Linked DNA regions of Oryzias latipes. The protein of the gene in region 2 purifies or fractionates together with the protein of the main gene of each other region. This does not show direct contact. Links are inferred from orthologs where the notes say so. Each region holds a gene or a part of one and is shown on either strand. Other genes may lie near its edges. The genes, in order: klhl36, slc6a15 and golga5.

Evidence for each region.
Region 1: the proteins of slc6a15 (region 2) and klhl36 purify together in Homo sapiens (co-immunoprecipitation; 3 studies listed by BioGRID and IntAct, counting the BioPlex papers as one, with this or other methods). This does not show direct contact. The link is inferred for Oryzias latipes from reciprocal best matches to the Homo sapiens genes SLC6A15 and KLHL36.
Region 3: the proteins of slc6a15 (region 2) and golga5 purify together in Homo sapiens (co-immunoprecipitation; 3 studies listed by BioGRID and IntAct, counting the BioPlex papers as one, with this or other methods). This does not show direct contact. The link is inferred for Oryzias latipes from reciprocal best matches to the Homo sapiens genes SLC6A15 and GOLGA5.

Annotation. Positions count from the first base shown.
Region 1 is NC_019864.2:27,885,737-27,889,387, reverse strand, and holds part of klhl36 (kelch-like protein 36), read left to right. Parts: intron 1-2,289; 5' UTR 2,290-2,307; coding exon 2,308-2,361; intron 2,362-2,582; coding exon 2,583-2,777; intron 2,778-3,140; coding exon 3,141-3,263; intron 3,264-3,651.
Region 2 is NC_019864.2:2,131,852-2,134,974, reverse strand, and holds part of slc6a15 (sodium-dependent neutral amino acid transporter B(0)AT2), read right to left. Parts: coding exon 3,053-3,123; intron 2,977-3,052; coding exon 2,778-2,976; intron 2,535-2,777; coding exon 2,342-2,534; intron 2,230-2,341; coding exon 2,070-2,229; intron 1,953-2,069; coding exon 1,790-1,952; intron 1-1,789.
Region 3 is NC_019880.2:1,780,482-1,784,909, reverse strand, and holds the start of golga5 (golgin subfamily A member 5), read right to left. Parts: upstream 2,829-4,428; 5' UTR 2,649-2,828; intron 1,645-2,648; 5' UTR 1,637-1,644; coding exon 1,009-1,636; intron 626-1,008; coding exon 422-625; intron 337-421; coding exon 117-336; intron 49-116; coding exon 1-48. UniProt on the Homo sapiens protein: Involved in maintaining Golgi structure. Stimulates the formation of Golgi stacks and ribbons. Involved in intra-Golgi retrograde transport.

The DNA.
Region 1 (3,651 bases), about 26 Mb from region 2:
GACTGTAATAACTTTTTAAATAGCGTAAGGTGTGAAATAAAAAATGGTGATATTTAGGTGTACTTTTGAAGTGTTATTCCTGGTGTAAATGCATGAAATGCTGCATAGTGTTCAGAACCAATCTGGGGAAAAATGCATTTAACGTCGATAATGTTTAGAGGACTTTATTGTTAACCTTCCCCTCTAGCAAACGTTGGTCATTTTAATATTAATACATGCAATTGTGTTTTTAAAAGTGAACTTTTGTCTACTGTTGAACCTTTCGCTGCGCAAAGACTTCCTTCTTTTCTCTCGTCTTTCCGACCGACAGTGGTCAGAAGCGCAGGGGAGATTTCCTTCAGGGCTGAAGGGAATTCTCCTTCGGGGTTCACTTCCCGTTGGAAACCCTCAACCTCCAGAGCGGAATAAGAATGACTCCAAAACAGTTATTCTGGGAATGACACCTTCTCCGTCCTCCTCATCCGTGCTCACCCCACCCCCCCCCCCCCCATCTGCACCTGCAATCGCCCCTCCCCTTGTCTCTCGTGGATTGCACCCCGCTCAGCACACACACGCTGCAACACTACCCCTGTATTGATCAAGTGGTATAGGTTTATATGGGATTAAGAAAGTAAGCAGTGCTAGAAAATTGTGTTTCCAAAAAGTAATTGTTACATTAATCTAATTCAATGTCCCTGATTTCATTTTCATGTAGATGCAATCCTGCAGGAATTAAAAGAAACATGGCAGCAGCTAAAAATGAAGTATAAAAACATAATTCAATCAGGTCAAATGTGAGCATGTCATGGATGTAGGCTTTGTTGACAATATTTGACATATGAAACATCTACATAGCAAGACCTAATGTTGTTTTCATTTTGTATATGTAATTGACTGCAACGAAAAACGGTAACGCTTAAACAAAAACGTATGGGGAAATGACAAAACATCGAGTCGAGGTCTCAAAATCCTCGTACGACGTAAATGTAATTCTCTACGAATTAATGCAGCCTCCTCGTCTATTGGGTCCTCCAAAAAAGGACAAGCCATTCTTGTCACTTAGATCGCGTGACGGAAATGTGGGCAATGAAGGTTAAAGCGAGAAATACCGCTTCGTCTTTAAAAAGGGGAGGGGACCGGCAAAAACTTCGAGTTTGGAGAATAAAACCTGCTCCCGACCAGGTTAGGTTCACAGCATAAGTAACCATGGATACTGACTCCGAGTAAAAGTTAACTCTCTTTCAGAAACGGGTTTGACTTACTCTGCTTTCTCTGGTTTGACAAACCTCCGATTCTGAAACGGAAAACCCAGGGTTTCCCTGATTTCCGGGTTTATGAACTCAGAGTTTACACTTAACCTCCTTTGTGAAACAGGCCCCTGTAGAACATAGTAAAAACAGATTGTTCCATTTTTCTTTTAGAGCTGATTTTGGTTATATTTCTATTTCTGATCATCAATTTATTAGTATTGTTACTGTGTTGTTCAAAGTTCCATACTTTTATTTTGAATTTTATTAACAATAATAAGAAACTTGTTATGAAACCTTGACGAATCCGCCGGGAAGTAGAAGAAGAGAGGTCTACTTCATGATGTATCAACAGTCCTAAAGCCCAAAACGCAAAATCTGTTATTGATCTACATGTTGATCAATTCAACACAATATAAAAAATTGTATATACTGTAACAATCCAGCCGGACCGTCACTTTCGTGGGGTGGCTGAAGCCAATTGATAATTAAGATGGCTTTGTTGGAGAGCTGAGCGTGCCCCATACACTGCCCGACCCCGATCAGTCTCAAGTATATATGAAGAGTCAGAGCACTGGAGAATCTCTATGAGCGCAGAGTCTGCTTAATCTAGCACACCCTAACAGCCCACACAGCATGGATTTGACTTCAGTACACAACCCTCTGACTCGAGGTTTCACCCTAAAGCTCCCCACTTCCCATGAGCCTTTGGGGCTGAAGGCAGCGCTAACCCCCGGGTCGCTACAATACATTTTTACTGTTTGTACTTGTTTGTATTTCAAAAAATGTTGTTAAATTGAAAAAACAATGATTCAGATTACAATTGGAGGGTGGTATTAGAAACTACCTTTGAAGTAATATTGCTTCATTAATTTCCAAATATATATATTTTTAATTGAAAATAACAGTTTTTGTTTTATCCCGACTCTTTTCTTGGAAGAAAAAAAAAGTAGCTTTTTTGAGTTTGTTCTTCTTCTTTGCACACATGCGATTGGTGTTTCCAGCTGTTCTTAATGCTATTTTAAAATATTAAAAGTGGACCTTCTGTGTTCTGAACACACAGCCGGTCCGTGGAGACATTATGGATAAACCGGGCCGCTTGTCTCGACTCCACAGGATCAGTGAGACTTCCAAGGTCAGCCTGTCTTTGTTTTCAGTTCACTTTAATGTTTGACCTGGAGACGCATACTTGTGTTGCCTTTAAGTTGTAGATTAATAGACTTGCACAGTTAATTTTTTTCTTCAATATGTGATGTATTTCATATTAAGTGTTCTACTTGCACCAATGTCTCCTACAAACTCCACAGAGTTGAAAGCCAGATTTGTTGCGTCTAAGTTGTGATGTTGTGCCAGCAGATGTTCTCCTCAGTGGGCCAGGCCATGGAGGTGCTGCAGGGCCTCAACGAGCAACGGAAACATAATCAGTTCTGTGACGTGGTGCTGATCGCAGATGACCAGCGAGTTCCTGCGCACAAGGCCCTGCTAGCCGTCTCCAGCGCTTATTTCCACGCGATGTTCACCCTGGGGATGAAGGAGGAGCACCAGCAGGAGGTATTCGGAAAAACACACCGCAATCACCTGCTAGCAAAATCCACTTCATTTGTTGTTTCATAAATCACTTAAACTAGGCTAATCTTGATAAAATAATAGATATATAGCCGGATATATTACAATAAAAGCTAATTATTTATGCATTAAGACTAGAAAATGTGTAGATTGTGTCTTTCTTATTTAGAATTTGCTGAAACCACACACTCTTCATTTGAAACTAAACAACAATTTGATCTTAACATCTGCAGCATCACCAGCGGTTTACTGCACTGTCCTTTAATGGAATCCTGCCAAAGTTTTATCAGTGAAGTGCTTTTAAACATGCAAAGTAGAAAGATTTCATGCACAATGAACTGTGTGCAGGTGGAGCTGGTTGGGATGTCCTACGTGGGCCTGAAAGCGGTGGTGGATTTCCTGTACAGCGGAGAGCTGATGCTCGATGGAAGAAACTTTGACTTTGTGTTGGAAGCTGCTCACCTCCTGCAGGTAAAACCATTGAATTGGAGATCTTTGAATTTCCTCATGTCCTTCCTCTACAGTCATTATACCTTTACTTGCTTCTGTGTGTTTTTAAAATCACAATTACTTTGACACCAGTAATTAATCTACAGGAAGGATTTATCCACCCTTTATGTGAGTACTGTAACTTCTAAAAGACCATTTTGATTGAATAACTTAAGTGCAATAAAATATTGTTGTTTTTTTCTCTCATGTCTGTATATTAAATACACAGTCAGATGTATTATAAGAGTTATTTTCTGAATAAGTTCTCTGGTTACTGGATATTGCATCTATCTATGCCACCATAGTCATATAATCTCAAGAATCATAAAATTTGTCACTTTATTTTATAAATTCAACACCTTAACGGGAC
Region 2 (3,123 bases):
AGGTTAAGTCTCCGTGCCTCAGTGTGGGAAAGGGACACCACATTATTGTATGGTTCTTTCGAAATTACATTTAAAAATATGTGGCGTTTATGGCTCTCTCTGCCAAAAAGGTTCCCGACCCCTGATTTAGAAGATGTACTGTCGTTATAGTTACAATGAGCAGCACCACATAAGTTCCTTTCAAAATAAAATACACCCTTTTTTTAAGGGGGAATCATTCCCTGCTGCAGCAGATTAGAATTCTAAATATTATAATTCTAATTATTTATTTTTATACTTTAAGAACTTTGCCTCGGAACAGCAACTAGAGATAAGAATATGTGTCCCACTCTGATCATCGTTTGATCTATTTTCAAAATAATCTTTTTATTCTGATGATGCTATTTGTAAACAAAATCCAAAAACCAGTTTGTCTTCTTCTGGGACATAGTTTCTGCAGAGCAACAGGAGTTCATTAGAAATTCACCTCTGAGTTGTGGACGGGACTGTTGGTGCAAAGTAAGCCCGGCCCGCTAGGTGGTTAAGTCCGGCCCACACATGAAGAGTAAAAATCATAAGGATGGTTAAAAAAGCAAGCAAGTTTCTAGTCCATTCCTGTGGCGAGTTATGATTTTTTAAAGAAATAACCGAAGTGCGCAATTCCGCCACTCGGGGGAGAAAAGGAAAGGCAAAACAGGTGAACAGCTTATCTCTGCACGTGCCAAAAGCGAAACATAACAGCTCTGCGTCTGGGTAAGATTCACTTTAGTTCCCTATGAGCCTTACCGCTGTTATCTTGCTATGAGGATGATCAGTAGTGACACCCTAATGACCAAAATGTTGTCAAAAAGTGAAGTGGAGTGAAGAGCCTTCCAGGAAAAATGGACAGTTTTTTTTTCTTTCACGAAGCTGAATGCAAACCCCCATGCTTGGTATGTCAGCAACAGGTTGCAGTGTTCAAAGACTACAACATTCAGCACCACTATGAGACTCACCATAAAGAAAAGTTTCTGGATCGCTTCAGTGTCAGATGTAAAATATTCAGTCTGTATAAATTTGAATAGAACAACTTTTTTTTTTATTGAAATTAATTTTATTTGAGATCCATTAGCCCCAAGGGATTAAGCTACTATGTTGGTTGAGGCATTTTTTCAAATTGAGTGAAAAAAACAAACAAAGCTGTTATTTTGCCTTTACGGGACTGGTCCGGCCCACTTGAGATCAGACGGGCTGAATGTGGCCCCCGAACCAAAATGAGTTTGACACCCCTGCTCTACAATATATATATACATGATCACCTCAGTAGTTTTTTAAAATCTAAACATACATGAAGTAACTTCATAAAGTTATTATTTATTCAGACTGTTAGTGGTTTTCTTCAAAGCCACAACTTTAGCGCTAAAAGGGCCCCATGTGGCTCTGGAGCCCCAGGTTGACGACCCCTGACAAAAACTGGATCTTAAGAAAGTAAAAAGTTTCTCGTTTCATAAAAAAAGCCTTTTTTTCTGTGTTGCAAGAAAAATTATCTGATCACTGAAGTTGTTTAAAAGCAAACGAATCTTATTTTCAGAAAAAATGGTTAGAATTTTTCCCTTACCAGGATTTTTCACTAAGAGCGTTTTCTGACCCCATTGGCAGATTTTTATTATCCTATTTTTAAAAATGTCACAATTTTTGACAAGTTTCTTTGGGGCCTTTTTTTTTTTTTAAAGATTTCATAAATCTTTCATGGTACACGTATGCACATTTACCAAGAAGCCCCCCCTGCTGATCCCGGACCTCACGGGTGTTAAGCCTGAGACGGTCTCACCTCTTCCTGGATCCAGGCGCTGTAGCTGGGCGGCGTCATGATCAGCTGGATGAAGCTGGCGCACAGGAGCACCAGCAGCAGGATGGGCGTGACGTACTTCCACATGTAATAGTAGAAACGGTACGGAGCAAATCCCAGCATCTCCTTCAGGTCTTCAAAGAATCTGCAACCCGACAGACGAGTGCGTCAAAAGACAGCGCCTGGATGCCGAAACGTTTGGTTTCTTCATCACTTTTTACAAGTTGGGAGTCCAACCTGTGGCCCAGGCCCGCTTGCTTACTTGTCAATCCCGTAGACCCAAGCGACGGCAATGTTCTCCAACACGACGACGATGAGCAGAGGCAGAGTGGCGGAGTAATCGTCAAACATGGTCACAAAGTAGTTCCCTGAGCGCTGGACAAACAGGAGGCCGATGGAGAAGGCCAGCGCGCAGCACCCCACTGCAGGAGACAAGCGGGGACTCGTGTTGACCACATTCTGGCATCTTCTCCACACAATCCAGGCCTCAGAACAGAACAGTCTGTACTTCAGCTGGGAACGTGCACGCCTCACCTGTCAGAAGCTCTTTGCGGACTTTGAACGCATCAATCAGAGGAGTGAGGATTCCCTCAATGGTGCCGAACATGCTGCCGAGTCCGAGGTTAACCAGCATGAGGAAAAACATGACGGACCAGAATGGCGAAGCAGGAAAGTGGGTCATGGCTTCTGTGAAGGCGATAAAGGCCAAGCCCGTGCCCTGGACTGCCTGTCGGGGAAACGAGTCAGAGGAAAGTTATTGATTCTAATCTGAGATTGTTCATCTTCATGCCAGAACTCGAGGAGGTAAAACCAGAAAATATCTGGTACACCGTGTTCCAATTTAATTACCACTGAGTTTGATATCAATGATCCAAAGAGCCTCAAGACAAATTCAAAACCAATAATTGCTCTTCGTGACACTTTGCATAACCATTTTGAACGCAGTGTTTTTGTTCTTCAGTTATTGAACCTTGTTCAGCTCATCTTCAATGGTGCAGGATTCCAGCCCCAGTTTCTGGAACTCGTCCTCCTTCACGCCCTTGATGATGTCGATCATCTGATGGTAGTCATCCGCCGTCACCTGACTGACCTGAGTCAGGTTTATGTGATGGGGGATGAGCGTGGCTTCGATGCCGTTTCCCAACAACGCCACGATTCTATTGGTGTTCCTTTTCAAAGAACAGACAAAAAGGGTTATGTCGCAGCGGCGGCGTCAAAGTGGGCGTTTGCTGCCGGCGCACTCACAGAGCAACGCATTTGCTGTTCATGACGTTGGCTTTGAAGCCGAGCACAGCAAACACCACCAAGGTGGCCAG
Region 3 (4,428 bases), on a different chromosome or scaffold from region 2:
AGCGCCTGCGAGTTCATGCTGCTGCCCTCTGTGTGGTCCTGCATGATTCTAGACGGGACAGAAGATCTGAGACACACGCTGAAAGTCTTTCTCTGGGGTTAACGGCAGCAGGGTACCTGGACGTCTCTCTCTGAGCCTCCTCCAACGCAGCGTTGCGGGATTTCAGAAGCTGATCAGCTTCATCCAGTCTGACCTTCAAGACCGCCAGCTGACCGTCTTTGGCGGACAAAGCTTCACTGAGGTCATCGACCTGCGAGCGAAGATCTCGAAACGCGCGGTCCTTCTGGGCCTGCTCCGAGTTCCACCGGTCCGCCCGCAGACGGGCCTGGTTCAGCTCTGAGGACAGCATGGAGGACAGAAGGGATCAGCTGAGAGAGCGGCGAGGGCTGACCGCCCGTCGCTGACGGCTCTTTTCCTTCACCCTCTTGCAGGTCTTTGGCTCTCTGAATGACCGACGCCATCTCCTGGTTGAGGGACGCCACCTCGCTGCGCAGCAGCTGGTTCTCCAGGCGCAGGCTGGACAGGACCTGGCTGGCGGGCTCCTCCGTGGGGGGAGGAGGGGGGGTCCCCTGTTTACTGGAATCCTGAAGAACAGCCAAGCTGGAGTCTGAACTGTCAGGTGTGTCTTCAGGGAGAGTGAAAAAATGAGAATTTTAACACATTGTGCAGGTAAATGTGGCTGTTTGGGGAATTCAAAATAATAGAAAGATTTAAGACACAAACAGGCAGAAAGTTACAGTTTATGAAACTGGACTTTGAACGCATCAAGGAGCAGTTCTGAGTCCTTCAAGCTGCCTCCAGAAACGCATCGCTCCCCGGAATGTGCAAAGCTTCAGTGTGCAGAAATTCATGAAAGCTGCTTTTTTAAATCACTCAACAAAACTGAAATTAGAATAAGCATTTAAAGGAAACATAAATCTAAATATTTTAGCTTTTCAAAGCAGTTCAGCTTTCAGCAAGCTTCATGTTTTTCTGTACATGCTGAGCTTCGTTTTCTTCCTCACTGACCTTGGGTTGGTTCCTCTGACGTTCGGTTGCTGTGAGCGGACAGAGAGCTCATGCTGGAGGTCCTGGAGACGCCGCGGGTGGAGGGGGGCGTGGGCGGGGCCGACAGCGTGGCCTGGACACAGGCGGGAGGCGGAGTCGGGGTTGGGTTCTGCAGCTCTGGGATCGGAGCCGCCACTTTTGCCAGATCCTTCCTCGAATCCCGTCGGCTGATTTCCGGAGGATCCGAGCTGTTCAGGAAGTTGAAGAGCATGTCGTCGTTCACGTCCTGCTCGCTCTTTTTGGGTCTCACAAAGCTGGACGAGCTCTTGATGGAGTTGGCGGCGCCGCTGCCAGCACTGGCTGCGTTACTGGGAATGTTGGCGGTCCCAGCCAGCAGGGTTGCACTAGATCTCTTGATGTTTCCCGCTGCAGCAGCGATGAAGCTCGGCGCATCATGACAGGGTGACGGTGCGTCAGCTTCCACCGCGGCCGTGGAAACAAACTCATTCCTGACATTGGATTCCTGTTCGTAGGACGATGAAAAAGAAGAGGTTCTGGCCTGGTTCTTGCTCAGAGCAGTCGCAGCTCCCTGGTCCACTTGATTCAGGAAGTGTTCTGCCTTTCCTGCCAGGTCTGTGAGCCAGGACATCTTGCTCCCTGAGGGAAGAATCAGAGAGTTCAGATGGGACAAACCCCAAAATGTAATTACCGATTAAAATTGATCCCAATCCCCTAATCCCAGTTCATCCCGTGAGCTTTCCCCACTCCCCATAAGGTCTGAAAGAAGAAAAAAAGAACCTGCCGAAGATGAAAGAAAAGCGGTGATGAAAAGCTGGTGTCTTTTAAGATTTAAATGTACAAACATGTCACACTAATATTTAAATTAGCTGCTATAACCACGTTGACAATCGTTATCTTTTTAAAATGTTTCACACAATAACAACATAAAAGAGCAACATTTTAACTGAGGGATCAGGTCCAAAGAAGATGAGGATTCACCCAAAGACTCTTTAGGACAAACCAACCAAAACGCAGATCAGCCTGAGCGTGACTTTTACCACGCTTCAGGGAGAACACAAACGCACCACGAGGGCACACAAACAAACAGAGGCCCTGAAGCGAATACAAACACGAAGCCTCCCAAAGTACACAAGACAGCAGCAAAGTTTGAAGATGAAACTGTCGTGAAGCTTTCCTTCACCTGATAAACAGCTCCCGTCTATGGGAAAACTGTGACAACATATTTCATTTGTTCATACAACAAAAATGTTTTTTTTGTCTGATGAAAACATGATCACATAGAAAATGCAGCTTGAAAACCATTTTCTCGCATTCTTTGATCCTTTAAATGCATAATAAAATTTATATTAGTCAGAATTGTCCGATCCGTTCAAACATTTAGACAAACAGGATCACAGCAGCTCCGAACTACAACCACAGTGTTTCACTGCAGCTACGATACTAACAGCTGCAGTTCTGCCTTAAACGACACCAGCTTTCACTCCGAAATGTGGGGGGAAAGTTAACTGTAGCAGAAGACACCCGACCTTAAAGCGACCCTATCGAGTCTGTCTGGGAGAAGCTCTGTCACAGCTGAAGCTAACATGCTAGCTAGCTCACTAGCTAGTGGCTCCAGAAAAAAAGAAAAGCTGTGGACGTACCGCGAAGACCTAAGGATGCAGGTAAATCTGTCTTTGCTCACAGAGAATCCGCTGCAGTTTAACCCCTAAACCATGGAATGACCTAAAAACCTGATTAAAGACATCATTCGGGAGGATTTTAGCCACATTCACAATACGTGGACCCGGAAACGATCAAGGACCTCAAACAGCGCGTCCTCGGAGAAGCCTGACCAGAAATGGAACTTTTAATTTCATTTTTAAATATTTGTTTGTATTACTATTGTTTTCCTTTAAACAAAACCACAAAAATATTAATCAATAATAGTATTTAACACGTCCTTTACAACACCATAACTGTCCTTGCTAAAGTGTTGTATTTTAACGTTTTGAGTATGTTTAGTCAAAACATTTTCTCAATTTATTCTATAAAATACGACAATAAACAAATATATTCTAAGAAATTATAACTATTTAAAGTGGAATCCACTTTTTATGTCCTGTCAGTCTTATTAAGCCAGTCTGAAGAAAATGTTCTGGTGCTTTGGTTAGAATCAGAAAATGTGGTCTGAATCCACCTCATAATACTAAAAGTTTGTTTTTAATATTCACAAAATATTAACCAACTGGATAAATGCTCTGGATAATGTTTTTTTTATTTTGTTTAACTATAAACTTATACTTTCCATCAACAGCACATTGTCTGCATCAAACACTGCTTTAGAATTCTTCCTTTAAACTTTTCTGCTTCATCTTCAGTTTAAACAGAATTAAGTAAAAACAAACAAAAAAAAACACATCTGATCCAAAAAGTGTCCAACAATCAGGAACTTTTAAACCAAATTCTTTTGTATCAGCATTTATGAATGCGTCTGCTACGGTTCTGTTGTTTCATAACGTAAAATGATGAGTGGAATAATTCTGCGTTAAAATCATCTGTAAGAAACGGAGGAACTTGTTTGTGAAAATGAAAGTTTCCAACAGTTTCATCCTCAGTAGAAAAATTAAACTTTCTCCAAGTCGAATCTTTCACGGAACAATCCGAGTACTAGAATTCTGTAATCTAAGGATTCAGATTAAAATTCACACACTAATCTCAGGATTCAGTTTACAAAGTGCCTTCTCTTTCAATACTTGGCAAATATTATTTAAAATAATGCAGCTTTTAAAGTCAATTCAAATGGATATTTGGAGAGACGGATCCGTAGACGGACTCGTCCAAATCAAAACCAGACACAAAAGTTACAAAACAGCTCCTTTTTTATTATTTTTTCCCGCATCACTCCAAAATGCTTATTTACACGGCATGCCACATCAATACAGGACCCGACTATGGACACAATCGATAACATGTATAATCTGCTCTGGAAGTCCAGGAGGTGGAGTTTCTCCCAACAACAAAAAAAAACAAAAACCAAGCAGAGAAAACAGAAACTGAGCAACGTTTTAATCGCCAGATCAGCCGTAGAAACGGTTCTGCTCAAACCGGCACATTTCAAAGAGCTAAAAACCCACAGATGTCTGCCTGACGAGCCGGGGATCATCTACAAAAATCCACGAGCGAGTTCAGTCTCAGGGTGGACTACAAGGATAGATGATCATAAAGGTTCAGGATTTACAAAATGTCGGCGAGGAGAAGCTAGCAGATTCCACCAGTGGTTAAAAAAAAAAAAGCCTGAACAACGTAAATCTTGTCAGACAGCATCTCAGTCCTGCTGTAGTCCTCAGGGTCCTTCTGAGTGAGGAAGGTCTCCTCTGATATAGAGACAGGATGGAGGGATGAGGGGAGAACTGCTTACAAGAGCTTCACTTTCTGATAAAA